4 linked regions of the Caenorhabditis elegans genome follow. The protein of the gene in region 1 purifies or fractionates together with the protein of each later gene. This does not show direct contact. Each region holds a gene or a part of one and is shown in the gene's direction. Other genes may lie near its edges.

The links.
Region 2: the proteins of F26E4.4 (region 1) and W06E11.1 fractionate together in Caenorhabditis elegans (co-fractionation; one large-scale study listed by BioGRID). This does not show direct contact.
Region 3: the proteins of F26E4.4 (region 1) and let-611 fractionate together in Caenorhabditis elegans (co-fractionation; one large-scale study listed by BioGRID). This does not show direct contact.
Region 4: the proteins of F26E4.4 (region 1) and cls-3 fractionate together in Caenorhabditis elegans (co-fractionation; one large-scale study listed by BioGRID). This does not show direct contact.

Annotation. Positions count from the first base shown.
Region 1 is NC_003279.8:9,769,317-9,775,437, reverse strand, and holds F26E4.4 (DNA-directed RNA polymerase III subunit RPC4), read left to right. Parts: upstream 1-2,872; 5' UTR 2,873-2,877; coding exon 2,878-2,987; intron 2,988-3,034; coding exon 3,035-3,165; intron 3,166-3,213; coding exon 3,214-3,401; intron 3,402-3,448; coding exon 3,449-4,246; 3' UTR 4,247-4,377; downstream 4,378-6,121. Other genes in the region: F26E4.7 (FAS1 domain-containing protein), read right to left, coding at 202-285, 329-450, 853-1,003, 1,066-1,158; cox-7C (Cytochrome c oxidase polypeptide VIIc), read right to left, coding at 1,556-1,678, 2,131-2,262; F26E4.5 (Tyrosine-protein kinase), read left to right, coding at 4,394-4,399, 4,449-4,541, 4,588-4,710, 4,757-5,002, 5,082-5,195, 5,257-5,393, 5,637-6,117.
Region 2 is NC_003281.10:638,110-646,566, forward strand, and holds W06E11.1 (RNB domain-containing protein), read left to right. Parts: upstream 1-3,949; 5' UTR 3,950-3,962; coding exon 3,963-4,211; intron 4,212-4,400; coding exon 4,401-4,507; intron 4,508-5,209; coding exon 5,210-5,707; intron 5,708-6,358; coding exon 6,359-6,737; intron 6,738-7,201; coding exon 7,202-7,420; 3' UTR 7,421-7,957; downstream 7,958-8,457. Other genes in the region: sbds-1 (Ribosome maturation protein SBDS), read right to left, coding at 167-300; tag-266 (Golgin subfamily A member 7/ERF4 domain-containing protein), read right to left, coding at 1,048-1,218, 1,669-1,879, 1,944-2,101; tag-267 (Major sperm protein), read left to right, coding at 2,685-2,750, 2,806-2,965, 3,009-3,119, 3,178-3,431.
Region 3 is NC_003279.8:6,251,814-6,258,878, forward strand, and holds let-611 (DNA-directed RNA polymerase III subunit RPC3), read left to right. Parts: upstream 1-3,221; 5' UTR 3,222-3,228; coding exon 3,229-3,291; intron 3,292-3,336; coding exon 3,337-3,429; intron 3,430-3,491; coding exon 3,492-3,613; intron 3,614-3,661; coding exon 3,662-3,945; intron 3,946-4,416; coding exon 4,417-4,736; intron 4,737-4,795; coding exon 4,796-4,940; intron 4,941-5,002; coding exon 5,003-5,214; intron 5,215-5,311; coding exon 5,312-5,707; 3' UTR 5,708-5,807; downstream 5,808-7,065. Other genes in the region: cof-2 (Olfactomedin-like domain-containing protein), read left to right, coding at 106-203, 260-419, 462-566, 615-716, 781-987; cebp-2 (CCAAT/enhancer-binding protein homolog 2), read left to right, coding at 1,271-1,368, 1,414-1,501, 1,549-1,665; lpd-2 (LiPid Depleted), read left to right, coding at 1,888-2,013, 2,061-2,198, 2,244-2,493, 2,538-2,853, 2,901-3,027.
Region 4 is NC_003281.10:9,185,726-9,194,819, reverse strand, and holds cls-3 (Protein CLASP-3), read left to right. Parts: upstream 1-3,710; 5' UTR 3,711-3,742; coding exon 3,743-3,829; intron 3,830-4,304; coding exon 4,305-4,688; intron 4,689-4,736; coding exon 4,737-4,865; intron 4,866-4,913; coding exon 4,914-5,190; intron 5,191-5,237; coding exon 5,238-5,754; intron 5,755-5,807; coding exon 5,808-5,886; intron 5,887-5,939; coding exon 5,940-6,173; intron 6,174-6,250; coding exon 6,251-6,537; intron 6,538-6,624; coding exon 6,625-6,838; intron 6,839-7,292; coding exon 7,293-7,856; intron 7,857-7,907; coding exon 7,908-8,027; intron 8,028-8,076; coding exon 8,077-8,136; 3' UTR 8,137-8,262; downstream 8,263-9,094. Other genes in the region: ZC84.6 (BPTI/Kunitz inhibitor domain-containing protein), read left to right, coding at 1-83, 136-321, 372-866, 995-1,176, 1,224-1,461, 1,522-1,601; ZC84.7 (uncharacterized protein), read right to left, coding at 2,069-2,168, 2,279-2,382, 8,288-8,462, 8,511-8,603, 8,682-8,743. UniProt on the Caenorhabditis elegans protein: Microtubule plus-end tracking protein that promotes the stabilization of dynamic microtubules.

The DNA of each region.
Region 1 (6,121 bases):
GTTTCAAACACATATAAGGTGCTCTAGAAAATTTGAAAAATGAACTATGAGAGGTTTTGGCGAGTTAACGGGATTTATACGGATGGGTCTCGCATCGCAAAATGCATTTTTGTAAAAAAAACTATGTATGCTCTTGTAAGTTCGCTATTGTCCTATTCAACTCAATTCAACTGCTCTGAAAATTGAGCTTCAAAAAATTACTTTAAAAAGATATTGTTCTCCAGAAATGATTCCCCATTGATTTGAAGCATGATTGCACATCATTCCTGCATTTGCAAAGTAAGACTGCAATTTCCAAATATTTTTTTTTCAATATTATCAATCTTACAAAGTTTCCAGGATTGTTCTCGAATTGTGTAATATATGTATAACCTGAGTTTATAGTCGAACGAATCAATGTCTGCTTGTCCCATAGTTTATTCTGCGTCAGTTCGACAACTTGTGAATCCACTGAAATTTTAAACTTATGAGATTTTCGTGAAACTATGGTCTCGACACGACTTAAATGCTCTCAAATGAAGTTCGAGCAGATAGAGCCTTTCAGGATTACTGTAGTGGTGAAACTACAGTACTCCTTATAGGCTCACGAAAAACTTTTCATCTTATTAAAATTTATGACGCCTGGCTCGCCAAAAATTTTGATTCTCAGTTACAAACCTGGGCGATAAAAAACGCAAAGATACAATACCAGGTCTCGACACGGCCTGAAAATTTTATAGAAGGGCGCGTGTGCCTTTAAAGAGTACTGTATGTTTCAAAGTTTTGATGTTTCGAAATTAGTTTTTCGATCGCGTCGAGACCTGTTACCGTATTTTTTCGTGACTCTCGAAAACAACTGTTTGTGAGTTTTACCTATATGTGAAAGTGTTTCTTTCTGATCCATTGCTCTGATAGTCGGATTATAAGTGAAAACATCATCCACGGGAGCAAATACAGTAACCCGGGCGTTACTATCCTTCATGTATGCAGTTGCAACAGCATAATAACCACAAAGTGCACGCCACTAAAATGAAATTCAGATATTATATATTTGTAGATTCAAATTTTCAACAAAAATCTAATTACTTGTTGCAGATCTGGCATTCGTTCCGTCTCGGCCCATAGATCTGACTTGATAGGTGTGAATAAAATAAAAATAAAGACTAAAAATGGAATCATCTTGGTTACATGAAGAAAACTAATAATAAAGGAAGAACGATCGATATGCAAGTGACTCAACCTTCGTCTACGGCTCGTGGGAGGTTGAACATGGGCGGCAGACCGTTTGTTTGATCAAGAGAAAGAGTATGGAGCGATACGAGAGTGCAGATTACCTGGGTTCCGTCCGCTTCATTAGCATATGACAGGAGGAAGCGATACAAACAGAACGGGTGCTTCTCATCTTACAAGCCCCCACAACCCCTCTAAAATCGAAGAACAACATCCGAACAGGTCGTCTATTTATTCTGTCAAAAACCGTGCTGTTGTACCGTTTGACACTGTAAAACAGCATAGGTCAGAAGAAAACAACATCACTATACAAAATAATTTTGGAAAACGGGTTGAGCTAATTTATTTATTGGTTGGCCTTTCTGAGTTGATACTCGACGACGATGAATGGAGCCCAGAATCCGATTGCGAGGAAAGTGACGGCCTTGGCGGCGAATCCCCACTTGTTGGTGACGTGGAATGGGAGACGCTGAAAATTATTGATTTGATTTGAGAATTATTCTTAAATACTCATTTTGATATAGTATTTGCACATAAAAACGATACAAATTTTGAAATTTCGTAGATGGTCTGACATCTTAAGGTTGTGTTTTTTTATAAATACGTTTACCATATTGACGGCACGAATGTTTTATTCAGGAATAATACTACAAAAAGCTTTGTGGAATCTAGAGATCTTATCACACCATTTTCCGAAATTGGAGGTTCATTAAAATTAACAATTGCCAAAAAATCTAAATTAAAAATTTGTAAAATAGTTATACAACAAGTTTTCGACATTTTCTGTATGTTTTGCTTTATACGTAATTTTGAGAAGATTTAAAAAAATTTCACTTCGAAACTTCTACAATAACTTTTTATAGCGTTTCCGTTCTGATCAATAATAATTTAGATACGCAACGTTAGGGAAAAAAAACTTACAGCAGAGGCCCAACCGTCATTGACGAAAGTGTTTGGTCCTTGTCCGGTGTACGTGACGGCCGATGGCGAGTGGCTGCTGTGGCCCTTTCTGACGGCTTGGACAATTGGGCGAATGACTTGGCGGCTCAACATCCTGCTGAAAAACATGAAATAAAGTATGTACATACCGACTAAAAATATAGAAGAGAAAAAATTCCGTTTTAAAATAAATAGCTTTTAAAACAAAATTCTAAACCAAGTTACTTATAAAAATTACTTTGAGTGATTAAAAACACATTTTTAAATTATTAGAAAATTTAATGAGCTCAATTTACAAGATTAATTTCAAAATATTAAGCCCGTCTGTGCACATAATAGTCGGTGAGCCATAAAACTCTGACTTTGATGTGTAAAAACGAACATGAAATTTGTTATTACTTTGCTCCTAAGAAATATTTTCAAGGATGACTCGGATATTAAAACACTGAAATCAGTTTTAAGCGTGCTTCAGGGATTATATTATAAGACAACTTGTTACAAAAAAAATAGAATAATAGAACAAAAAACTTAAGAAACGAAAAAATAGAGTGGAAACGTTGGGCAGTCCGGGCGAAACGAGAACTTTTGGCCGCGCTGCGGTCACGCGTCGCGTGCGTTTTCCAGTGGAGCGATGTTTCATAAATATATTTTCAGCAATTTTTTACCTGATTTCGACATTTTTCTAATTTTCTTTACAATTTTCAACATAACATTTTTATTAAAGGCATCATGTCGAAGCCGGGACGCCCAAATTTGTCCCTGGCTGGCAAGCGAGAGGCTCCCGCTCAACAGAAAAATAATCGTGGAGGTTCTACATCGACAAGAGGAGCTGGGAGAGGGTATTTCAAATATTTCTATCGTAGAATATCAAATTTCTCATTTTTAGCCGTGGTGCTCGAGGTCGAGGAGCAGGTCCCCGTCCCAAGCAAGAGCTTATACAAACTGGAGGAGTATTTTCTGAAGGTCTAGGAGGCGATTTCCCATCTAGGAAGAAGGATAAAGATTCAGATGCTTCGCGTAAGTCGTTTGAAAGTTTTAGAAAATTTATAAAAGCCTCGTTTGTAGAGTTTTCGTATTCAAACCGAGAAAAAGGAAGCGGAGCGCCTTCTTCATCAACTGGTGACCATAACAAAGAAGGGAAAAAAGAAGAGAAAAACGTCGCAGGAAAAGCATCTTTCGAAGGCTGGGATGCTTTGTGGTGCAGTGATGATGAAGGAGATAAGGAAGAACTCAAAGCACTGATGCCACCACCAGTAAGCTTAACTACTTTTTTTTCTCAATAAAAATGACGAATTTTCAGTTTATCAGTGATCTGAGAAGAGGAAACATAATGCCGGTTGTTTTGCCTTCTGAAGATCAACCACAGTTTCTGAACATCATAAACAAAAGTGCACGCCTTTCATTGGAAGAAGATGAAGCTCCGATTGATGAGAAAAAGCCGCTTAATACCGAATCAGGGCCAAAATCACGAAAAGCGACTCCTGAACAATTGATCAATATGTTAGAAGCTTCTTCTAGCGATCTTCTTCATCTCCAGCTTCCATCCGTTATCGGATCTATATGTAATAATATCGAAGCAAATGTGGAAGCGTCAATGGAAGTGGATGAACCAGACAATGATGTTCCAACTGGAATCGTCTCAGCTCCACCTCCACCATCCGGTCTGCCACAAAACCGAAAAATTGGAAAGTTGCAAGTCACTCGTAAAGGACGTATGATTCTGAAAATCGGTGGGCATTCAATAGATATCACATCAAAGCCAACTACTGGGAAGAAACAAGGAACTGTTCTTCTTGAAGTTGATCCAAATGCTGATCAACTTCAAGCACCATCCACATTTTCTAGTGCTCCAGAAATGATTAATTCGCTGTACCACCTTGGAAATGTGAAGCATAACCTGGTTGGATCAATGACCTGGGGAGCATTGAATGAAAAGTCGAAGCGAATTGATGACGCAGGAGAAATAAACGACGTTGAAATGAGAGATGATGAGGTTTCTGACGCAGTTGACGAAAAGAAAATTGAGCAACTGGAAAAAGAACAGAGCAAATGGGGAGCTCTCGCAGAAAAATGGGCTACTGGCTTACAAACATCATAATTTTATAATAATCACTTTGATATTTACCATCACCAAGTCGTTGTTGTTGTTGCCAATTTATTGTTATCCAGTTTTTTTGTTCCATTTCATATTTATCACGTTTCATCTTTTAGTAAAACAATTTCATTTTGAATTTTTAGTAAATCAATGTTGGTACGTTTTTCTTCAGTCTGGAGTGTTAGTTTAGTTGAAGTTGATTCAGAGTGCCAGCAGAGGAAATCGTCGTCATAAAGATCGTTCTGAAGTGGAAACCGCTGTTCGCGGACCCGATCTTCTGTTGAAAGCAACGGATGAAGTATATATATAGAAGGAATATCTTAATATCTTGGGATAAATTTCAGACATCCAGTGATGGTGCATCCACTTCACTTTCAAAGTCAGTTGAAGAGTCGGCACCGAATAAAGATAAAAGTAATAGTTCCTTAGTGAAAAGTCATCATGTTCTTAAGATTAAACTCAAGAAAGTAAACATTTTCCTATCTAAAAAGGAACTGAAACTAGTGGGTTTAGATCACAAATTGGAGTGGATGTAGTGGAGCACTTCTCGACGATGAGCCATTCTATCATGGATACATGTCTCGTGAAGAGTCTGAAAAACTGGTTCGCTCACAAGGAGAGTTCCTTCTTCGTAAAACTGAGCTAACAAAACGTGGAGAAGTGGTAGTTCTCTCGGTGTTCTGGGATGAAGGTGTTCATCATTTGGTTGTGGAGAAGGCAAATAATGGACTTTATTATCTGAAAGAGTTTTGTTTCGAAGTAAGATTTTCTCGTTTGACAAATGTAATGCACCATGTTTTAATATTTTCTATACGAAAAGTATTTAATGGTATTCCAGAACATAAGTGATCTTGTCCGTTATCATCATCAAACTAGAGCGAGCGTCTACAAATCTGGAATTAAATTGTTCAGTTGGGTGGTCAGAGAAGAATGGCAATTGTACCATGAGCAGGTTTTTAGAGTTCTTCGATGCACAAATATTCATGTTTGCTCAATTATCTGAAATCTTTAAGATTAATTTGGGAAAGAAATTGGGAAACGGAGAGTTTGGAGAGGTTTTCCAAGGAGTTCTATCTGTTGGAATATTCACAAATGATGTGGAAGTTGCTGTGAAAACGATGAAAGGAAGTAAAGTTACAGCTGATGAAAGGTAAACTCATTGAAAACTTGAACGATTTAAATTATATAATTTTTAATTAAATTATGTGGTATCTCGCCGGGATATGTTGCATATTTCCCAAATGCACAATTTAGCGGTTTTGCGACGCAAGTATACGGTTGCTGGTCTCGAAACGAAATGAAATGTATACAGCTTTTTTTATTAAAACACTTTTTTATCACTGCGAGACCCATCCGAATAAATCCGCACTACTTTAATACTGATATTTTTCAGAATAACATTCCTTCGTGAAGCTAATCTGATGCTGAAACTGAACCACAAGTATGTTGTCCGATTGTATGGAGTTGCAACTCAACAAGAACCAATAATGATTGTAATGGAATTATGTTCTGGTGGATGCTTGAAAAGTCGAATCGAGAAGAAAGATGAACAATTGAGTGATGTGTTGAAAAGAAAATATTGCAAACAAATTGCAAAAGGGATGAGATATCTAGAGAAAAAACAAGTTATTCACAGAGATTTGGCAGCTCGTAATGTACTTCTTGATAAATCCGACAATTGTAAGATCAGTGATTTTGGTCTTTCTCTCTTCGGAAAATTGCACAAGGAGCAGAAACTCATGAAGGTTCCAATCAGATGGTTAGCACCAGAAACTCTTCTAAAAGGAATTTATTCATCAAAATCTGATGTTTGGAGTTTTGGAGTTGTGATGTTTGAAGTGTTCAGTGGAGAATATCCATATGCAGATGTTAAGGTAA
Region 2 (8,457 bases), on another chromosome or scaffold:
TTTTTGATATGGTAAATATTAATTCCAAAAAATAATATTTGAACAAAATTATTCAAAAGGTTAATTTAGAAACAACTGTTTTTTTATTTATCACTGAGAAAATGGTTTGAGAATTAAAATTTTCAGATTTCTATATGATTTTTTTAAAAATTAATATATATTTTACCTCTTATTTCTCCAATTAACAACTTTATTCTTGTAACAAGCGATTTCAAATCGTTTTCCGGTTTTCTTCATTCGAACCACTGCCACATTGGTCAGAACTTTCTGATTTGTCGGCGTTTTGATATTTTTTGACATTTTTTTTCGGCTGAAATTTTAAGAGATTTTGGCATTTTTAATTTTAAAACAAAAGAGACCATTTTGAGATATAAAAATAGATTTGAAACTACTTTTTTTTCAAATGTCGAAAAAAAATTTTAATCTAAATTTTCATTTTAACGGAGAATCTGAATTTTTTTAAACTTTAAAGTCGATAAATCAAATAAAAAAGAGATAAAACCAGTCGTTGAGGTGAGAAGAATGGGTGTTTTTCGGGGTCGTAGCGTCGAAAAAACGAAAAATCGGATTCGAATTTAGTTAAAATTGGGTCTAAATGACTGAAAATTCGGTATATAAGAATAATTGGAAAATTTTCGATAAAATTCAAATTTTCTGAGATTCAAAAAAATTCGAAAAAGCTCACATTAGTTTCAGAAATGAGAATTTTCATGTTTTTTTTCGGAAAAGTAGATATATTTTTCAAAATTTTAAAGAATTTCAGTATATTTGATATTTTCCGAATAATTTTCAAGCCAATTTTCAGTCATTTAAGCCTGGTAGACTAGATTCGATTTGAAAAAAAAAAAAACTAAAAACCCTGAATAAAGCATTGGGGGAAGTGGTGGTGGTGATGACAATCGGGAAATATATACAAAAATAGACAGAAATACGGAAAAATCAGGTCAAATGGAAGAACAAAAAAAGTACAAATTTGTTTGGAAACAGTGGGCGAAAATGCGAAATTTTTCGAAAAATGTGCAAAATTTCGCAATTTCCGGATGGGGACTAATCGGGAAGATTTAAGGCGGGTTTAGGCAAAGTTTTCAATTCGAGCACATATTCGGTCAGGCGGTCTGAGGGCTCCGTTGGGCGCCGAGCCAGGGACCAGTGGAGGCCCAATTTGTGATAAAGGCTAACATTCTCGTGGTCCAGACATTTTTCCAGCGCTAAGACGGTCTGAAAATTGGGGAATTTAAGAGAAAATTTAACTGAAAACTGGGCTGTGTCGATTTACGGGGATTTTATCTAGATTTTTTCAGTTCTTTTGGTTAAAAAAAAAAATTACAGGCTTTTCACGGCACAATTTTTCTAGATTTTTCGAGTTTCTGGCGGTTTCTTTCCACATTTTTAGTGGTTTTCAGTTGGTTTTCTTACCTTAAATCAAAGTGTTTCAAACATTTCAAACTAAACAGTTCATAACTGCCATTGCCTGCTAAATATTTAGCAGACCAACTGTGGGTCTGCTAAATATTTAGCAGACCAACTATGGGTCTGCTAAATATTAAGCAGACCCATTCAAAGTGTCTCAAACCACTTTTCAGATGAATTTTATTGGAAAATCGGCGAAAAAATCCTCGTAAATCAACACGGAGCCGAATTATCTCGCCTAATTTTTCGAATTCTTACCCTCCGATTCAGACATAACACCGGCCACATTGAGCATCCAATTGAGCAACAGCAAAACGCTAATCCACATAAAAGCCAGCGCGATGACGTTTGTACGTGGCGTTTGAGCACAGAATTTACGCGAGACAGTGTCGCCGAGAGTTCTTCTGGAGCAATATATCCGGTTAGTTCGGGCGGATATTCCGTGTTGAAACGGGAATTCATGCCAAATCTGAAGGAAAATTCGATGATTTTTTTTGATAAATATAGCTTTTTTTCTCTTAAAAACCACCTACACTGTGATATTTCCAACTCCACGAATCACGACGGGTTCCTTCTCCTTTGGAATGTATATTGGCTCGGATTCCTCGTCACTACTCGGCATCACGTCTATTTCTGGCTCTTCGCCGTCACTGGAAACCGACGCCGATGGGGCTGGTGAGCCATGTGACATTTTTTATGAATTTTCTCTGGAAAAATGTAGGATATTTTAGGGGTTTGGTGTTAATTTTGATGTGAGGAAGCGGCTGAAGTTGAAAATGTTTTAGAAAATTCATAAAAAATGAGAAAAATGCCGGAAAATTAACAGTGAGCCGTCTGGAAAATAGAGAAAAAAGAAAATCAATAGAAATTGAGAACTCAAGGAGACCACGCTCTCTCTGGGTAAAAGGTTGTTTGCAGAACGCATGTTTCCGAATGTCACAGTATAAACGCGAGGTTTTTTAGTTGAACACCTAGTAAAAGTGTTATAAAATGTAAGATTTTATTAAATGAAAATAAATTATTTACTTTGTAACAAGAAAATCTAAAATTATATGTCATTTACTCGTTGTTCCTCATTTCTCCAATGTGAAATCTCTCAATTTCGTGAAGTCTCTTGTGGTATGCAACGGCGCCCTATCGCACTTTTTTGTGAAACATATTTTTTCCTTTTTTTGCAGATTTTCCAATTTTTTTTCGCTAAACGCATTTATTTTTAATATATTTGTGTTTTATAATTTTAAAAAATCTGAAATTTTGCAAAATTTTCCAGTAAAATGGGCAAAAAACGAAAGCACCAGGACTCGGACTCAGAGCAATCTGGAAAACGGGTAAAAAAAGTGGTAAGAATTGAATTTCTTGATTACAACTTTTTTGGTTTTAATTAAATGTATTAAGGAAGAAGCCAGAAATGGTGTGGCTGACATGACGATCGATGAGAGCTCGGATTTTCAAGTTTTCCTCATCAAAAAACCGATTGGTGTTAGTTTAGAAGATTTGGAGGCGCTAAAATGGTCAAACGACGAGGAAGTGTTGACGAAAACCAAATTGAAGACAGGTGAGAGTATTTTATTGAGAAAAATCTATGAGAAATTTTTCAGAATCCGGAGTTTTCCGAGCTATTGTTGCGCCAAAGTCGAAAAAGGAGCGGATGGTGCATATTCCGGCGTTCAGGGAGCGGGAAGAAGCTGACTCGAAGAATATTAAAGCTCGTAAGCATAGAATTAAGCTTAAAAGTTGATAAAATTACCCAATAACAATTTTTTTCAGAGAGTTTCGTCACTGGCGCCATCACAATTCTCCCGCAAGAGGTGAAGCCCAAGGTACTAGGAGGATTTATTTATGAAGAAGGCGAAGAACCCGTTGAAGGCTCTTCAGAAGTCCATCCAGGCCTGAAAAAGATCAAAAAGACCGCAATTTTGGACCTGGAAAGCCGTCAACAACGTAACAAAGCCTATGGAACCACTACGGAAGGCGATGGAAAACCGAGAAAACTTGCAAATATTATCGAAAAAATGAATTGAAATTTACTTGTTGACACATTTTTTGTTGAATTTATCTTTTTGTTTGTTGATTTTTCGTTTTTTTAGCTAAAAATGTTTTTTTCTTAATTTTTTTCTGGTTTTTTAAATCGATTTTTGGAAGTTTTAACATCTTCTGTTAATATTTATTTGCCACGTGGCATTTATTGATTGAAATTTAACATTTTTCAGTGGTTTTTTGGGAATTTTTGATTGGAAAGACGAGATTTTTGCTGAGTTTTCCGTGAGAGAACTAGAAAAATCGCAAAAAAAGTCAGAATCTCACAAAAATTGTGTCTAAAAATTCTCCAAAAATATTAGTAAACTAAAATTAAAATTTTCTACAAAAATCCTTATTAATTACACAAAAAATTGCATTTTAGCTTTTATTTTTCCAAATTTTTCGGGAAAATTTGTGTTCTTCTAGGTAAAAATGGGGTTTTTCAACAAAACTAAGGAAAAACAAACGATTTTTAAATATATAATTCGTATAAACCGTCCAAATCGCTCAAATTTTTCAGGATCTCATACTAAATGGAAGTAGACGGTGCTTCTGACGACGAACAAGAGCAAATTATTCGAAAACTTGTCAAAAAACCGGAATTTCTATCAGATGAAGAGGATGATTCAGTTGAAGATCAAGTCGTTTGGGAATGCGACGTAGTTGTGTGCAATTCCACACCAAATACTGAAATGTTCTCTGTTTCGTATCCTTCGAGCAAACGAGACGCCTGGGATGCAAAGCGATTTCCAATTGCCAGATATAAGAAGAATGTTCGATTGGTACGGAAAAACACTTGAAATTGGCTTGAATTCATTGAAAATCGGAAAATAGGACACTAGAATTATTGAACAAATTGAACAAATCCTGTCAAACGTTTAGAGAAATGCCCAAAAACATCTGAAAAAGTAGCCGTTTTTTTCACAATTTAATCAATTTTAGATCGAATTTTCAATGTCACTGATTTTCAGCTAGAAATGCGCTTCATGACAGACACCCAACTCGGATCATATGACAAAAAGAAGGCAGAACTTATGTATATGGATGGAGATGTCCCGAAAAAAGGACATGGAATTGAGTAGGTTTTACCACAGTTTTTGATGCTGAAAGTATGAAAATACACCTGAAATTTGCTTTGAAAAAAGTAGAAGGTAAAGAATATATTTAGCAGACCTATAGTTGGTCTGCTAAATATTTAGCAGACCAATGAGGTTGGGTCTGCTAAATATTTAGCAGATTAATTTTGGGTCTGCTAAATAATTAGCAGACCAATTTTGGGTCTGCTAAATATTTAGCAGACCCATGGTTGGTCTGCTAAACAATTAGCAGACCAATGAGGCTGGGTCTGCTAAATATTTCGATTAAAATTCGAGGATTTTCAAAGAATTTACAGATTTCTTTCGTTTTTTAAATGAAAAGTTCAATAAAATGCTTTCGGTTTGTAGCAAAAAACGTAGAAAAATCAATTTTTGAGGCTTAATGCGGAGTTTTTTTGAAATTTGGTCTGTTAAATAATTAGCAGACCAAAAGGGTTGGGTCTGCTAAATGTTTCGATTGCTAATCGAGGGTAGGGACAGATTTACAGATTTCTTGCGTTTTTTGAAAAAAAATTGATTTAAAAAATTGCTAATTAATTCGTTACATTTGTTGAAAAAAGAGTAGAAAAATCAATTTTAAGTCAGTGTTTTTTAAAATTTGATCTGCTATCCACTTAGAAGAGCCTAGTTTCGAATTTTCATTCGAAAATTGTGTGTTTTTCACATAATTTCAATTCTTCCAGTGCTCTCCGAGCCAACGATGAGATCTACGAAGGCCGTGCATTCATCCACGATCACCCAATAGTCAATGCAATTGGATTTTTTAAAAACGGCGAATTCTTCATTCATCCGCTGACTGGAGCATTCGAAATGCATCGATCAATTCAAGGGTTGAATAAAAAGAAGAAATCCGACGGAAAATCTGGAAAATCCGATGAAGATTCGTCTGGAGAAGAAGAAGACGTTAAGCCATCCTCCGCCGCAGTTAGAGTCAAATTTTCTCGGCCTGAAACTGAACGACAAAAAAAACGACGAGAAGCATCGGCGTTACATCGAGAGAAAAAGATTGCAAGTGATATGTGGATTCCGATGAAAGTTCATTTGAAAGATGGTGACCCTGTCGCTGAAAAAATTGATGGAATTAGTCAGAATGGACTCCTTTTGGACGATCCTGAAGCTTCACGAATGAGCATTAGAGCTCTTGTTAATAGAGCTATTATTTGTGGTGTTAAGGAGGAATTGTTCGTTTTTTTGTTGTAATTTTGCACAGAAAAATAGTGTGGAAAAACGGAATTTTTCAGTTTTTTTCCACAAAATCCCGAAAAAAATGGCTGAAAACTTGGGAATTTTGGTTTTTTTTTTCAGTTCAGAAATTCAATTCAGAAATAATTTAGAAATTTCCAAAATCTTTTTTCACTAAAAATTCCCAAAATTTAATTTCTTCTGAGAAAAAAAAATTAAAATTCTGTTACTTGACGGAAAACATCAAAAATTCAAAAAGTCTGATTTTCACTTTAAAATATCTCAAAAATATAGTTTTTTTACAGCTGAAAAAGCCTAAAAATTCATATTTTTCCCTTAAAAAAATAAATTTATTTCTTCTAAAACTAAATATCCTGAAATTGGATTGTTTTAATTGAAAATGTTCCTGAAAATTAGTTTTTCTTCTTGTAAATCACAAAACTAGAGGAATTTTTACTTGTTTTGAACGAAAAATCCTGGATTTTAGATTTTTGACATGAAAACGCTAAATTTTTTGTATTTTTAATGTAATTTTCATTAAAACCTCCAAAATGTTTGTATTTTTAGTGTAATTTTCGTTAAAAAGACCAAAAATTTTACATTTCTACTGGAATTTCCACTAGAAACACCCTAAAATTAATGTTTTTCAGAGTAATCGAATCAGGAAAAGAACATATGCTTTCCAAACAACGAATCGATGATCTTCCGGATCCAAACCTTCAATTAAAGGCGCATATGGTGAAATCTCACGTGATGAAGACTTCTGAAATGCGTCGTTTAATCGATCCATCCGCAATGAGCACTGATAAAATGATTGCGAAGCTCAAGGAATGCGCGAGTTTAGTTCAAGGCGTCTGGGTGTTGGATTCGAATTTAATGTTCAAAAATTTGGCGCCGGCGCACTCGAATACGGCGGGAAAGACGGATTTGTATCGGGCAGAGCTTTGGAGAAACGCGCGAGATTTGGCACTTTGCCTGATTGATGGTGGTCATAGAGTCACTCGGCTTACTCTTATGACATGCTTTAAGGTAGAAAAACTCATATTTAAAACTGGAATTCCTGTGGAAACTTCACTTTTCCACTGAACATTTGACTGGAAAAGTTAAGAAAAACTTATTGAAAATTCCTGGAAATCAACCAAATTTCCAGTAAAAAAACAAAATTGAAAAATTCAATTATGAAGTTGTTCCTGATTCTTTACTGAAATTAGGAGGCTTTTTTTTTGCAAATTTTTCATTGGAAAAATGAAGTTAAAATTTCCACATTGGAATTGAATGCTAAATGATCAAAAAAACTTCAATTTTACGCAGAATTTGATTGAAATGTAAATTTTAAAAAAGGGGGAAAAAAATCTAGGAAGCATTTGAATAAATTACGAAGAATTAAATAAAATTTTAATATAAATTTAGCAATTCTCGAAATTTCGAAAAAAAATCAGAGTTCAGAAGATGAATCTACATGAATTCAAAAATTTAAAACATATGTGTTTCAGCTCAGCGAACGGGATTCCGATGAAATTTTGTCGACTTTTGGTGTCAAATGTGAAGCTACCAGATCATGGAGACTTCGCGTCGAACGGGATGCTCAGTTTTTGGAGGATCCGGCTATGAAGAAGCATGTGGTTGAGCAGAAGGCAAAATGGGTTCAGAAATTTAATGAATTGGAGAAGTCGCTGCAGGAATCGCCTGCCAAGTCCCCGAAGAAAAAATGATTTATTTCTTTTTTTTTAGCCTTTTTAGCCTGGAATTTACAGAAAATTTGAATTTTCTTTTGGAAAAAAAATCACTGAAACTAGTCAATTTTCCATTGAAATTTTGAAATTTAGAAAAAATGACAAAAAATATTTTTTCCAATTTTTAACGAAAATTTCAAAAAAAAAATTTCTGAAATTCAAAAAAAATCCTTTAAAAAACCGATTTTTTAATTATTGCCTTCTGAAAAACCTCCCGTCAATATTGAGAATATCTAATAGAATATTGATTTTTACAAATTGGAATTTTTGTCAATTTTTTGGAACAAAAATCAATTCAAAATTTTCAATTTGTAAAAAATTCAATTTTTCACAAAAAAACTCACAAAAATTGTTTTTCTGGAAATTCAAAATTTCTGTAAATTTCGGTCATTTTTCCAAAAACTCAATTTTCCTCTCCCACGTCATTCTATTGTTTCCATCATCACCACCAAATTCTCCACCGATTTTTGTTGATCTTTTGTTGTTGTTTTTCATTTTTCTGTTATTTTGAATAATTTTTATTTCACTACTCCGAGAATTTTAATCCGATTTTCCCCTAAAATAGCCGAATTCCCGAACGGTATCCGAATGATCAATTTCAAATCTTTTTACAAACATTATATTACACTTTTTGCTATTTGCCAACACGTGTTGATTTTTCAGATTATTGCTGTACTTTAGGGGCGGGGCGGGAGAGATCAAAACCCTTTTCTTTCAAATTTAGATCAAGTTTCGGGTTTTATTTCTTGATTTTGATTTTGCTTTCACGAAAAAGAAATCTAAAAATTGCCAACAGAGTGTTTGCTTTTTTCAAAGTTTTCCTTTTTAAAATTGTGATTTTTAGAGCTTATAAATTTAAATATTTCCTAGCGTACTGGTGACGCAATTTTTTCGAAAAAGCCGAAAATTCCATAATTTTTCCCTATTTTCATTGTCAAGAACCCACGAAAAGTGAACAAAAACTTGGAGTTTTAAAGAAACAACCATCAATTGTCAATAGAGCGCGTTTGCTTATA
Region 3 (7,065 bases), 3.5 Mb from region 1:
AAGTTTGGAAAGCTGTCACAAACCGAAACTCACTGGTTCGCCGAGTACTGGTATACTGTACATTATGAGAAAGGCATATCTCAACATATGTATATCTTGTTTCAGGACGCTAGAAAACGATACGTAATGAACCATTTCCAAGGCCACGAGCTCATCGAATTTAGGAATGAAGCTGAAATGCGACGGGACCATGTCGGAAAAGTGTATGGTTTTCTTTCAAAATTTTTCAAATATTTGAGAACTTTTTATTCTTTTTCAGCCATCGCCTTCCATATATATTCGATGGAACAAATCATGTTATTTTCAATGCATCTCTTTTCTATCAAAGAGCAGGATATCCAATTATTGCAAAATACGAGTTCAACTCGAAACAGTACTCACAGTTTGAAATACCGGGAGCAGCTTATCGTGGGGATCAGGTGAGTTTTGAAATTGTTTTAAGTCAAAGTTTCCAATTTCAGTACCTTTATAATAATTCGATGAATTATTTTGACTTGGCAATCGATGAAAATGCACTTTGGGTCATGTTTCACTATCAGGAAGAAGCTTTCTTATCAGTAGCTAAAGTAATTTTAAGTTGTTCATTGAAATCTATCTACTAGGTACTATTCCAGGTGGATATAAATAATTTGACAATTTATGAGGCATTCAACCTCACGACAGTAAATCATACAGATGTTGCAAATGGAATCGTCGTTTGTGGAACAATTTATTTGGTTTAGAATTTTTTATTTGATATCAAGCTTGACCAATAGCAAAATCAAATCAACATTATTCCAGGTGGAAAGTGCATCAGAACAATCCACGTATATCTCTACGGCATACGATTTCTACAGAAACACATACTCCCAACCTTTGATTAAATGGATTAATTTGTACAAGAACGCCAATATGATTAGCTATAATGCTTATGATAAGAGAATTTACATCTACGATCATGGTTATATGCTCTCTGTACCTCCACTTTTGCATTGGCTGGCTAAATAATTTGTGTAGTACATAGTTCATTTACTATATTTTAAAATAAATTCAGTTTTATTCGAGAAATATAAAGTAATTAATTTATCGTGAATATCGTGAAAGTAGCTCTTTCCTATATATTTTTTCAGGAGTTTTAGTTCCCCTTTCTCGAATTTCTGTGGTGTCTCACGCAACGACGCTCCGTTTTACACACTCGCGCGTACTTTATCGTAATTCCACAAAACCTTTTTTCCATCATTTTTCTATTAATTCCATAGTTTTCCTCGATTTTTTGTTGCAATTTCAAGCGATGAGTGGAAATCGGAAGCGAAACACATCAGAGCCTCGTGAGGACGATGAAGATGACTATTCCACTAAACGAAAACGGAATAACGAAGCTGTGAACAGGTAAAATTTCATTTTTAGCCGCTAAAATCTAATTAAAAATTCCAGAACCCGACAAAAAAAACGCCAGGAAGAAAATGACACTGCAGAAAAAGTAGACGAATTAAAAAAGGAGAACGAAACACTAGAAAGAAAGGTACTTGTTTACTTGATTTTTTAATTTTAATTAATTCCCTCTATCAGGTCGAGCAGCTACAGAAAGAGTTATCATTTCTTAAAGAAATGTTTATGGCATATGCGAAAAACGACGGAAATGATGGACCACCACCACCGCCACCACCATCTTCTTCCGCCGTGTAGATAACAATTTAATCAAAGATTTATCCACCATTTCTGTAAATTTTATACAAATAACTCAATTCACGCATTCCAATAACCAAAGAAAAATAAATTTAGAAAACGCTTTACTTTCTTTTTTAAACTGTTTTTTTTTGTGTGGTACGTTTCCAACAATTTATCTTGAATGATCTTATTAATTAACTTTTTGAATTTGTGTTGTATCAAAAAAAACGTTTCTTTCAGATGACCGAAACGGAGCAAGAAGCGTTTGCTGATTTAGTGGCAGAACTGGAAACTCAAACTGCAGAAGCAGTAAAAGCTTTCAGTAAAGTTTTCGATCGGATGGAGGAAACGAACGATGACAAAGAAGTGAAATGAAAACCTCAAGATTTATTCAAAAACTTTTTTATTTACAGGGGCTTAGTCTTCTGAAGCTGAAAAACTATGAAATGACAGCGTACCTTGGAGAGTTGACTGTCCTTATGTCGAAAATGATGAAAGGAGAGTCAATTACAGTAGAACCATCTGTTAAAAGAGCTTTAAAGCATAGAGTGGTATGTATTTTAGTATTCCAACTGTTCCTAAAAAACTAGTTTCAGTTCATTGAAAAAATGAAACCAGTCGAGGATAAGATGAAACCTCAAATTGAAAAGCTACTAGGCCGGTCAAGCGCCGAGAGTGGAGCATCAAATGGTTCTTCCAAGGGAAATCACAGAGTTCGATTAGACAATATGGACGTTGAAGGAGATGAAGAAGAAGAGGAGGAAGATGAAGATGATGAGGAAGGAAAAGGAGCAAAGGAAGTTAAGAAATATGTGGCACCAAGAATTAGAGCAGTTCGATATGAAGGTATGTTCAAAAATTAGTTTTCCGTAAAGTTATGTTCATTTTAGAAGAAGACGAAGCTCCGAACAAGCAACAAGAAAAGGCAAAACGTCGTGCAATGCAAAGTAGTCTTATTATGGAACTCAAAAATCAATACAGTGATGCTCCGGAAGAAATTCGAGAGATGAGTGAGAAGAAATATCAATATGATCGTGAGAGAGAACGTTATGAGGAGGATAACTTCACCAGAATTCGATTGAATAAGGATCAGAAACGACGAAGCGAACAACTAGGACGTTCGGAAACTCTTGATGATTTGCTCAGTTTTGGAGATTATATGATGAGAGGAGAAGATGGTAGAGCACTTTCCGAAGGAAATAAAAGGTAATCTTTAACTTTTAAAATTGTCCAACATATGATCCATTATTCAGAAAGCGTGCTACATCTTCTGGTGCTGGCGGGGACACAAAACGACACAAAAAATCCCAAAAGGAACGAAAGAAAGCGGCAAAAGGAAAGAAGGAAGGACGAAAAAGGGCTATTCGCAGAAGACAATAATGTTTTTTGTTGCATTTTTATTTGCCAGTTGTTGAATTTTTTGTTAACTTTTTATTTGTTTTGTTTTACTTGTTTTTATTGTATTAGAAACAACACTTAAAAAAAATATTTTCAAAAAACAATTTCCAGAGCGGTTGCAAAGCCAAATATCTGTAAAACTTCCAAGGAAAGCTTTTTTACTAAAAGACCTTCAGATCAAAAATGGGTGGTGGAAAGTATGAGACTCAAATGTGTGTAATTATCATCGAAGATATTTTCGGAAAGGTAAGAATTTAAAAACTTTCTTTTTAAACTTTTTTTGAATTACAGATTGTGGCGAAAGTAATGGAGACGATTCTGAAAGAAAGCTGCCAGTTGTCTACTCTTTTTTATAAACTGAAAGGACAAATTTCAAATACTCTAGTTAGTTATATTGATTTGGAGGATATTGAGTTCACTTGCAGAAAAAATAGATAAATTTTCAGATCAGAAAATCGGTTTCCACATTGATCAACTTTGGTTTTGTTACTTTCCACTTGGACACGAACAATCGAACCACATATGTTGCAGATTCCGACCAAATTCAACATGTCATTTCCTCGCCGAGGTAAAAAGTTGTAAATATATTTTATAGAGCCAAATATATAATTTTCAGAGCTTGCCTCATTGCTAAAACGCTCTACGGACCTGCTGCAGAGTCTATCTGCGTCGAACTTATTTCTCAAGGGCGGCTTACCGTATCCGAGACAATTCGTCGAATTCAAGCGACAGATGAGACGGCCGTGTTCAGTGACATCAAGAAATCTTTCGAAGAACTCGCAGCTGCACATTTTCTCATTCGAGTTCCGTCTGTAGAATCAGAAATTCATGGTTGTCCTCAATTTGTGACCAATTTTGATCCATTTGCAATATCTACTAATATCATGGAAAAGAAAGAAGGTAATGAGAATAAAATAGTATAAAGCAATCTTTAAATTTAGAATGCGGTCTGTATTGTATTGTATTGTATTTATTACGATTGAAATCGTGATCAAAAATAAATAGTGAATAGACATGTAGGAAAATGATTAAATTTATTTCTATCATGCATGATACTTAAATTACTAAATATTGAAATCTAAATTTTTTAAAAATTTGTTTTAATTCGTGTTAAAAAGTGGTTCAAATGAGTTCGCTCTTAGAGAAATCTGAAGCACTATGAAATATAAATATTTCAAACATAATAAAACTGAAAAAAAACATTTGCTTGACAGCATCCAAACAAATTGGTGAAAAATGAGTTTTCACCGGTTTTTGGTTCAAAATATATGATTTTCCGAATTTTTTGAAATGTTTTATTATGATATACATATTCGGGCATTTTAGCACCATAGTAATCTTTTTAAATAAATTCCATATATTTTATTACAGGAACATCCACTAGCGACTCAACTTCAAACAACCGAAAGCGAAAAGCTGATTCAACTCCAGAGGATGGTGATGCAGGTCAATATTGGAGAATCAATTGGATCCGATTCAATGGATATCTTCGCGATGAGCTTATTATTGATTATCTTATTGGAGGTGGTTCAAAAGGTACAATGACAAATTTAAATGTCAAAAAAGAAGAAACCATCGAAGATCCACAAGGAGATAGAACTCAATACATCACACAGAATGTGGCTCATCTTATGTTCAAAATTAACGAAACGAGAGCTAAACCAATGAGTATGGAGAGTATCACAGCCAGTGTAAGCCTACTTTTTGCTTGATTAGTGATTATTAAAAAATGGTTATTATTCCGTTTCAGTTGACCGATTTGCAACGACTTGTTAAAGAAAATGGACTGAACCTTGCCAAGCCAGATATTGAACTCGCTTGCCAGATCCTTGTTGATGAATCGGACGGAATTATCAGAAAACTTGGAGAATCAAATGGAGGTATTTTTATTGTCGGTATGTTTTTTTCTCTCTAAATTCTTTGAAGATTTTCAAATATGAAAGTTAAATTATTTCAGACATTCGTCGCGCTATTCGTCAAATCTGTCGTCATCACTGTGAATCGCTCATCAGAGAACAGTTCGAAGGACGTGCAATTCGAGTTATGAGACTTCTTGAAAATCGTCATTATCTGGATGAAGAACAAGTAGAGAAGTTGAGCATGATGAGTGGAAAAGAAGCAAGAGAAATGTTATACGCATTAGTTGAAGAAGGATATGTGTTCAATAAGGTAATTTTCGGTTGAATTATTCTACTTTAATTTACTGAATAGTTGGTATAACACGAATTCAAAAATTATTGTACTTCAACATATTGAAATATTTCAGCCTGTCGGTCGTAGCAACGATTTCCAACCCGCTCGCACATTCTATCTCTACTATGTAGATCTACCTCGTACTATTCGTGGTCTCGTAGAGTACACTTGCAAATTGGTCCGAAACCTTATTGTTCGTCAACGACATGAACGAACTGAAAATAAATCGGTGCTCGACAAGGATGCGAATGTTCAACCAATTATTGAAAACATTCGCTCTTCTGAGCAACTCGATGAAGCTTCAAAGTTGGCACAAATTGCAGAAGTTGAAGAAATGTACCTTCCTGGTCCAGATCGTGCACAATTGAATCGCTTCCGTAAAGCTCAGGCTACTTTGCTGGCTGCTCAGGATCAATCAATTCGAGTTTTGCTCTCTTTCAAATTGTTCTTGGCTTCAGGGGAAAACTAAAATTTGTTACTTCGTTGTTTTTTTAAAATTTATCCGAGTTGTTATGTTATCTGATTTTGTCATATTATCATTGTTAAAAAAAATGAACGTTTTTCAGTTATTTGGTTTTCCGTTTTTGTTGCTTCTACCTTCAATTCCATCACTTTGATAACTTTTTCTTTGTCCTTTGTTCTGTTCATTCTCTTTCAATTCCACATAAATATAAATATAAATAAGCATTTGTTACACCATTCGTTACACTTTCTTCCCTTTCATCCACCACTTTTTTGTGGTTTTTTCTCTTTTTATTCTCATCTGAATGATTCATTCGTTCGTGATGTGTTCCTGTAAAGATTGGCTTCATCACTAAACATGAGAATTGATGAAAGAGTCTATTTCAACAAACTTAGCAAATTGAATATTTATTATGAATACCCCGAAGAGAAATGTTTTTATTGAAACCTGAAACAGGAAATTTTTTCTGTCTTTCTGTTCATTCTGCTTCACACCGTTCAATATTCGATAGTAAGCATAAAAGTTTTAATGATATTGTATTCATGACTATGTGAAACATAACTTTAAAGGCGCAAGTCATTGTATTTGGCTGGTTCCACCACGACTTCTAATCTAACTAACGAAACCGTAGATCTGACAAAAAAATTCAAATTTATTTTCTAAGAAAAATTCTAAATAAATGGCTTAAAACCAAGTCATTTATTTAGAATTTTGAGAACTCGTAGCTCTAGTCTTACTGTAATGAAACAATCTGGGTTTCCACTTAATTAAAGGTATATGAGTAGTCAGTTAGGATTTTGTCTAGAAACATTTACAATAGTGAAAGAATATCGGAATAAAACACTCTAAGCATTTCAAAACATTTGAAAAAGTTCCCTCAAAGTTTTTGGATATTACCAATTTTTAAAAAATTTGGGTTTTTTGCAGGAAACTCAAATCAAAGCAATACTGTTGTCCGAAACCTTATAATGTTAAAATGTAAATAATTAAAACGTAATAGATGTAAATCTAGTAGAATGTATTGGTCGACTTTCAAAATTATGAGTGGCTGAAAGTGAATGATTGTCATTTTTTTCGATCTTATAAGAAAATGTGTTAATTTCACTCTCAGACTTCAAACGAGACAAGCCGTATTTACCAAAAATTTAAAGATAAAATCTCCACTTTCAGAATTATTCTTTATCACATTTTTTTTCAAACGTTTTGCACTGTTTTCGAGAACTTGCTTGAGGAATTGTGGTATGTTTAATTTTGAAGTCTAGGAATTGGCTCGAATACGTTTATTTTCAGATACATATTCTTCTTTCTACTTTGGATTTCCAATATGCAAAGAAACTGTTTAAGAATCTTTACTCGCTTGCCCT
Region 4 (9,094 bases), on another chromosome or scaffold:
GAACGGAGGAAGTGCCTGTCCTGATGGATTCTCGTGTGTTCGTGGAAAGAGTGGAGCTGAGTTATGTTGTGCTGGTGGAGAAAGTTAGTTCCCGAAAATAATTAGGCAGTTGTACAGTTTGAATTTATATTTCAGCATGCGAAGCTTCCCAAGTCCCTGTGAATGGAGTGTGTCTGAATAGAGTTTTAATTGGAGAACAGTGTGAAGAAACACCTCAATGTGTTGGTGAATCACATTGCATCGCAATGAAATGTTCATGTCCAACTGGAACAATTGAACAGAAGCAACAGTGTATGGATGTCTCAATTGAACGGGAAATAAGTGAGTTAACACTCAGAAATACAATGCGAAACTAATCAGCAAGTTTACAGAATGCACTGATAAACAAGTTAAAGTAGAAGACGAATGTTTCCCGTTGGTAACACTTGGAAGAAGTTGTGTACATTCTGCTCAATGTCAGGGAATGGGTCAATGTATTGATGGAGTATGTGATTGTGACGAGTCATCAGTTAGAAAAGGCCATCGTTGCGATAAGAAACAATCTGTGAGACCTTCTCTACCAATGAATGTTAACAAGTTTGCAACGGGTTCTCCTCATGTCATGAAACAGATTCAACCTCCGATGTCTTCTACATCATCAGCAGTCATCACGACAACAAGTTCCAATTGGCAGCCACAACCTGGTCATGCTGAAATCATGAATGAAGGTATCTGCCCAGCACCGAGACAACCTTACCTGGCAAATGGAATCGCAAGGCAATGCATCAGTGGACAACCATGTCCAGTTGGGTATTCATGTACTTGGAGTCCACAAGCGAAAAATTATTTCTGTTGTGCAGCAAACAAACTAGTCATGAGGACCTATGGTAAGCTAAGATCATCGGAATCTGCGGAAGCATCTTTAATATTTGCCCGCTATAATATGCCCGCTTAAATCTTAAGCTTTCAGGGATAAAACCTTCAGGGATAAAAGATATGAACAAATATTTTTCAGTTCTCAAGGACGTTTGTGACGGTGGTGAAGCTTTGTTGTTCCCGGCAACAAAAGCACCAGTGATTTGTACTCGATATGCAACATGCCCTCCAGGATATTTCTGTAGAAGGTCGCCAAAAACAAAACAGACACATTGTTGCAAAAAACGACAACCTTTGAATATGCAGAGCTATATTATTCAGGTAACTATTCATTCCTTCATCTAGAGAGCCTTCACTAAACATTTCAGATAAAAGATATCACATCTAAAAGACCTGAACCTCTCCGAATGGCTCATTCGATAGCATCAGCAGCCGTTCAGATGGCTTCACAATATATGCACCCAGGACGAAGGCGTCAAAAACCACAGCCAGTTCAGAAAACCAAGCCAGTGAAAAACGTGAAGCCAACGAAAACCACACTTCCCTGCCCACCAAATCAAGTGCTTCTAGAGATGGAAGTGAATCGAAAAATAATCAAACGTTGTCGTAAGTTCAATTTCCAAAAAGAAAGATCGAAAGTTATATAGCGTGTAAATGTTATTGCAGAAGCCACGTGTCCTGTCTCAATGCGTTCGGTCAACGGAGTGTGCAAAATCGAGCGTCGACCACCAGTAGTCACCCAATAACTTTTTCATTCATTTCCCGTGCCAATCGTCTTTCATAAGTATTCTTTCTCTCTATATGAGTAACCGAATGATCGTCAAAAAGCTTTTAATTTGAAAAGCCATCCAGTTGCTCTATTTTTCACATCTTTCTCATTGTTGTTGCGCCACTTTTTAGAAATTTTTGGTGGTGGAGAGACGCTCATTTGTTTTCAACGAACCACAATATGTGGTCACAAAAATCAAAATAAATAAGTTTATTAAATTTGTTTGAATATTGAAATTCAATTGAGAAATATATTTTATGTTAAAATTTTCAATTTTCGGAGATTGTTGCATCGTAATTTATCAGAAGGAAGTTTAGAAGACACATAAAAGATACAATAATCTCAAGATATTTAAAAGAATACAAATTTGATACAAAATGTTAAAATTTAAATTATTCGGTGAGAGAGAGATTCAGAATAAAATATATGCGAGTTAACAGGATTTTATACGTCTGGAAGTGCAACTTTGGCTGGTTGTGCTGGAATCGGAGATACACCACGCTCCACAATTTCATTGTATGATGGTGGCTCGTCACGATACGTGCTGAAATTTGCTAAATGAGTATATGTTTCAAAAATATTTGAAACTTTTTCAAGTTAGGTGGATTTAGGGATTGAGTTTGAGATATATAAAAACACATTAAAAGAACATACCTGATTCCATTATCAGTGATAAAGAACGGGCTTGTTGGTACAGTAAGTGAATTTCGATAAATCATTGGTGGAATTACCATTGTAACATCAACAATCGGAGAAGGCTGGAAAAATGTGGAAATTACTATAATTGACCCTATTCATACAAAATGCATTAGCCTATTCAATATAATCTAAACCAACATGTCATTTCAATTCCCATAATTTCCATAAATTTTCGATTTTCCCTCACTTTATTCTATTTTCTTTTGTTCTTTCTTTACGGACAGCGGAAGGCGATGACTGGCTGAGATTTTAATTTATTGTTTCTTCTTTATTTTATATTTTCTTTCAAGTTGACTGTTGTGAACAAAAACTGTATATTCAATGTGTTTTCTGGAACGTTTTATGAACGTAGAAATATGTAGCTATAATATTTTTGTAATTTCAGTGCATCGACCCTTTTAGGCGCACCTATCGATTCCTGTAAATACACGAAAATAGCATATATTTAAAGAGTCATATTCTGTTAGTTATCCAAACACTCTTCTTTTGTCCTTTTATTTGCTCACTAGACTTTTTTGCAGTAGTTATTTCTCTCTGCAAGTCTTTAGCTTCAATTGTTGTTCAATTCTTCAATTCTAGATGCTCTTTCTCCATTTCCAATTTGAAATTCCATTTACCCTTTTGGGCGCGAAACTACAATCAATTGGCTGCTCGCGGAGCAAGACAACAGAAATGGAAGGACCGAAGAAGATGGGAGAAAGAAGACGCCGGCGCCTTTTCTTTTTTCTCCATTTTCTTCTTCTTATTTTTCCCGTCTTTTTGAGAGCATGTTTATACTTATTTCACATGCATAAATGCCTGCTCACTAAAAGAAAAAAACGGAAAAGCGACGTATAATTTGTGGTTTTTTTCGTTATAATAGACCACTCCATCGAGATATCAAATTTCTCGTAATATTTCAAATCGCTTCACATTTAGACTGGTTGTTTCATGAGAATTGAAACATTTTTTGGCATAGTCTCTCCTCCTGTGCGCACACTCACATCTGCCTTCAAAACCAACATGTGTTAAATTGGAGCGGAATGACATGACGCGTCTGCCGTCCATCCAACGATGTCCTCTCTATGGTATCTCTTGCATCTCTTCTTCTTCGTTTTTGCCCCATTCGGACACAGCTGCTCTGGGTGTTGTCTCCCCGCACTCACACCACTAACCACTTTCTACAACTTTTTGTGCGTCGACTTTTTTGCCCTTTGTATTTTCCTAGTTTATCTTTTCCATCTATTCTCCGTTATTCAAATTTGAATTTCCCGCCAAAATTTGTGGCCGGGAAAAACGACACCTCTCAGCCATGGAGTCCTCTCGAATTATCGAACATTGTCCGCTAATTTTGAATTTCGACGTCAGAAAAGTTTCTGGTTTTTAACAGCTTTAATCTTTTTTTCAGATTTTCTCAAACCATTTTACATTTTTTATGGGATGACTAGCCGAATGCAACCAAAAAGCGGAGTTTACTCGGTTAGCAAAGCGGATTTCACAAAGATTTTCGAAGATGTCCCAAAAGTGGTGAGTATTAATAGGTACTTATAATAGTTCAACATGCCCAAATATAAAAAACACTCCAAAAATTTTTGAACATTTTTCAAAATATTTGAAAAAATTCAGAATTTCAAAAATTTGGTAAAATGCCAATTTACGAAAAGTATGGACTTTTTGGGTAATTTCGAGCACTGCTGCTGATTAGAACCCATTTAATGTTCAAATAGAAATATTTAAGTCAAACTCAAACCCAATTAAAAGAAAAAAAATGTCAAACTCGTAGTTAAAATTTATTTTTTCGATCGACATCCAAATTTATGATAGGTGAAAATTAAAGTAAGTACCATTTTTTGACTGTAAAATAACAAATTTCAAGTAATTTTTAAACGGTTTCTATGATATTTTGTCATTTTCGCACCATATAAGTAGTTTCAAACATTTCCCTTTTTGGCGATTGCAAATATGTTCCAATCAATACAACACTAGATAAAAATCTTTTAAGCCCATCACTTCTGCCGTGGACCTTCGTAATAAATTCGATGCAGTTCGAATTATTTTATCAAATAGTTCCGAAGACTGGAATAAACGACAAACTCAATTAAAAACTGTCCGAAGTCTAGTGATTCATGGGGAGAAAGTTGTCGATCGACCAACAATGATTGCTCATCTTGTTCAACTTCTTGGTTGTTTCGAGTTGGCAGTGAAGGATCTTCGATCACAAGTTTTACGAGAAGCCGCAATAACATGCAGTTTCATTGTTAGTAAATATGGAATCGAGACTCATTCAATTGGAGAGGATATTCTCGTTCCAGCAATGTCACAAGTTGCTGTTAGCACGAAGATTATGGCCACTTCAGCGAGCACATTGACAGAATTTATTGTAGAAGTACGTTTTTTGAATCCACAAACTTATAAGATTTCCCTAAAATTTCAGTATGTACAAACCCGTCAAGTGTTCACAATTCTCTCTTCGTTCTCAACATCCAAGGACAAATCTCAAAGAAGACAGCTGGCTGCTCTTCTAGAAATTGTTATCAGTAAATGGAGTGATAGAATCAAAAAGGTAGTTTACTAATTGATAATAACTAATTGAAATATTGTATTTTTTCAGCAAATAATGCGTCAAATCTGCGAGCTCATAAAATCAGCAATCAATGATGCTGACTCGGAGACAAGAGCAGCTGGTAGAAGAGCATTTGCAAAACTTGACGAAATGCATTCCGAAGAAGCTGATGCTTTGTATCTAGAACTCGATCATTCCAAACAGAAAATGCTTAGAGGGGGAGATGCAGCGTCTTCATGGGCAAGTGTGAATAGTGAAAAGGGCTCAATACCAATTCGTTCGAAATTATCAGCTGGATCGAAAGCTCATATGAATATCAGTGCGAGTAAGTTTTTGATTTCAAACTGGATGTTCAAAGTTACTTTGAAACAGAATTTCTCGCGCAAAGAAGTGCGTCTGCAATTGATCCAAAAGCTACAAAGTTTGCTGGACCTAGTCGACTGGTTCGTCCGACTTCTACAAAAACAATGGCAAGGCAAGATACTTCACCAGCTGGATGTAAGTATTCTAATTTTATATCTATGTTTTTCAAAACTCTCTTGCTTTCCGCCAAAATTCCATATCCAAACCGGCCCGGATCTAGAACAAGAACATCTTCAATTACTTCCACCGACTCTCGTGACACATCTCCAACCAGAAGGAATTCTCCATTACCACCAGAAACACAGAAAGCTAGAGTCAAATATGGAAACGGGTCTTTCTTTGCAAAACTTGGAATGCCGGATACTACCGACGATGATGAGTTTTTACTACCGATTCGAATAAGATCTCCCTTGAAAACACCGACAATAGAAGCACACGACAAGGTTTCCCAAGTTTTGAAAGAATGTTGCTCTTCTTCAGTTTCGGAGAAAAAGGAAGGAATCAAGAAACTGTTGCCTATTGTAGCGTGAGTTTTTTAAAGTTCAAAATGTTTTGACCTCAAAAAATTTAAAATTTCAGTGACACTAGTCTAAACCCAATTGAGATCAAAAACATTGGAAATTGTCTAAATCGGTTGCTTTCGGATGCTTCAAATACCGTAAGCTGATTCAGAAGAGTGCTTTGATTATTTAAAAAATAACTCAAATTTAGATGGTTCTTGAGATCTACTCTATATTCGTTCGAACCCATAGTAGTCGATTATCCGAATGGCTTCGATTAGCTCTTGCAAAATTGTTTGCTCGGAAAGCCGCTGAAACTCTGCCCAACACTAAAAAACAAATTGGTCATACTTTGAACGTCATCCTTGAATGCTTCAATGCTCATCACCAACTTGTCACAGTCTGCGAGCTAATGTGCGATCCGATACATTTGATGGTTCCAAAGGTTGGTATTTTCCCATTAGATTTTTAAAAATACATCATTTTTAAGAATTGTTAAATAATTTTCAAAAAAAATTTCAGGCTCGTGTTGTACTGCTGGAGTATTTGACAAGTCTGCTAGATGAGTATACGGAACCTGGAGCATCCATTAATGCTAAAGAATTGAAGACCGCAATCCGAAAAATGCTCACATGGGCCTCTGATCCTAGACTGTCAATTCTACTAACACCACATGTTGAGAAAGCGATTTGCTCCATGTTTTGTGTTAATGTCGCTGATTTCTCTGCACTAATTAGCGATCTTGACAGTGAGCAGAAGAACTGGATACACCAAACACTTCAGAGAAATGGACTCGAAAATGGAATAAGGTTTGTTCAGTATGGTCATGCATTCGTTATGAGAAATGAGAAATGACTTCAAACTCCCCATAGACATGGCTCATCACTTTTTTGCAGTAGCAACAACATCGCAACCAACTCTGGAGCAACGGCTTCTCGTGAAACAAGCAACACTTCTTTCCAAAAAGAGTCAACATCATTCGGTCTACCCGAGTTTGGAGCACGAAAAGGCGGAACTGGCGTCAATCTCGGCTCGCTCAATATCTCTAACAATCTGGCATTGAGTAGGCTAGAAGAGCAATCAACGTCAAGGCTCATGGAGAAAGTTAATGTGAGTGTTTTTATTCTCTCAATAATTATAGATTTATTCAATTTTTAGAATTTAATTTTCCAGTTTCGTTGAGTAAATAGAAAAAAAAACATTAAAAACATTTTATTTCGTATTAAATAGCAAAATTTTTTACTAAAATTTAAAGAGAGAATATAGTAAAATATTTGATTTATCTGTAAATAATTTTTATTTCAGTCTGAAAAAACACTGAAAAAGTTGTCGGAAAGTTTAAAGTTTCCATTAAAACATTTTGAAGACTTGTTGGATTTTATTTCGGCAATTTTCAACCTTTAGGAAATTTTTGAACATTTGTCCAAATGTTCTAACTAAAATAACAATTATTTTGAGATAAAACAAATATTTGCATATGTTACGTCACTAAATTTCAATTAAAATGATTGAAATAACATTTTTTTAATTTTCTTTTTCCTAGTTTAATATTCAACATTTCCAGCTAAACTCCACTGTCACACTCCCACCTGATACACTGGAAAAAATCCAGAACGTTCAAGACCTCCTACAAAAGATGAGAAGCTCTGAAAACGCGGATGAGCAAGAAAGTGCAATAAGCTCTATTTACATGATGATCTGCGATGGAGGTTTCGGTGTGTGGGAGCAGTGTTATGCAAAACTTCTTCTCAACTTATTCGAAATTCTTTCAAAAAGTCGATCAGAAAATAATAAGAAAATGTGCCTACGAATTCTCGGGAAGATGTGCACCGCGCAAGCTGCAAAACTGTTTGATTCGACTGAAATGGCAGTGTGCAAAGTTCTGGATGCAGCTGTAAATACGAACGACGCAACAACGGCTCTTGCTGTGGAAGATTGTTTGAGAACATTGGCAACTCATCTACCACTTTCAAATATTATTAATATTGCAAAAGTTATTCTAAATCAAGAACCTATCGACGATGAAAGAGCTTCTCTAGTTCTTAAAATGGTAACACGATTATTTGAGGAACTTCCAGCAGAGGAGTTGAATAATATTGTAGATGATATCACTCCAACGATTATTAAAGTGAGTCACGAAAACTTTAGCAAACTCAATTGGAACTCATAACATTTTCAGGCGTATCAATCTACGTCATCAACTGTTAGGAAGACCGTCGTCTATTGTCTTGTCGCCATGGTAAATCGAGTTGGCGAGCAAAGGATGACACCACATTTCACCAAGCTGCCAAAAGCAATGGTAAGGCTTCATATTTGATTGCGTTTCATGATAGCATCACACTTTCCAGACCAATCTCATACAAGTCTACGTCAACAGGGCGATCTCAACAAGTTTACCAAGGCTATAATTTCAAATTTAACTGTTTCTAGATCTCAAATTGACATGATGCATCAAAACGGGTAAAACTCGCATTTGTTTTCAATATTTAATACTTGTTTGGTTTCCAGCTTTCAAATTTAAATAAAATTTCAAAAGTATAAAGTGTAAAATCAACTAACCGGCACAGGTGACACAGGTCGACTATCCTCCCAAGCAATCGGAGAGGATAGAGGAATCACTGATGCACAGCTTTTACGACCCGAATGAATTAGATATGCGAATCGAGCAAAGCAAAATCCAAGAAAGAACAGCACCCAAGAGAGAATATACGGGATGAGAAGAAGTGGGATACTTCTGTAAATAAGGAGGGGTTTATGATTTTGAAGACAGTGTGAAACGTACTGTTTACTGACGATGGACAGAAATATAATATTCTCGACGATTATTAAGATTGCGAAAAAAATTGCAACGCTGGATATTCCAATGAATACATTTCTGTAACGAAAATTTTTTTGATCGAAGATTTGAGCCAAGTTTGGGCAAAAAACTGGCGTCCATATTAGACAGACTTACCGATATGGTCGGAATTTAAGAACAACGCCAGGAGTTAAATATTCTTGTAATTGAAAGCACATTTCCTAGCAATCAAATTATTTGAAATGAAGATGAAGCTAAAAATGAGAAAATCGAGAATCCAAATGTAGTTTTTACTCTTCCCAACACGCACAGATTAACGTCTTTAGAAGCCATAAACTCATAGTAATAAGGCTTCATTGATGATGACTCCCCATTTTCTCGAGGCATGCATAATACGAGAAAGAAAAAATACCAGATTTATTAGGGAAAACAGAGGTGATTTCTAAATACAGAGGGATTTTGTTGAACAAAATATTAATTTAAAACGCTGTATGAAAGTGACCAAAAAATTCGAAAATACCGGTATCAACCAGATAAAAATTTAGGTGAGAGAGAAAAAGATAAATTTT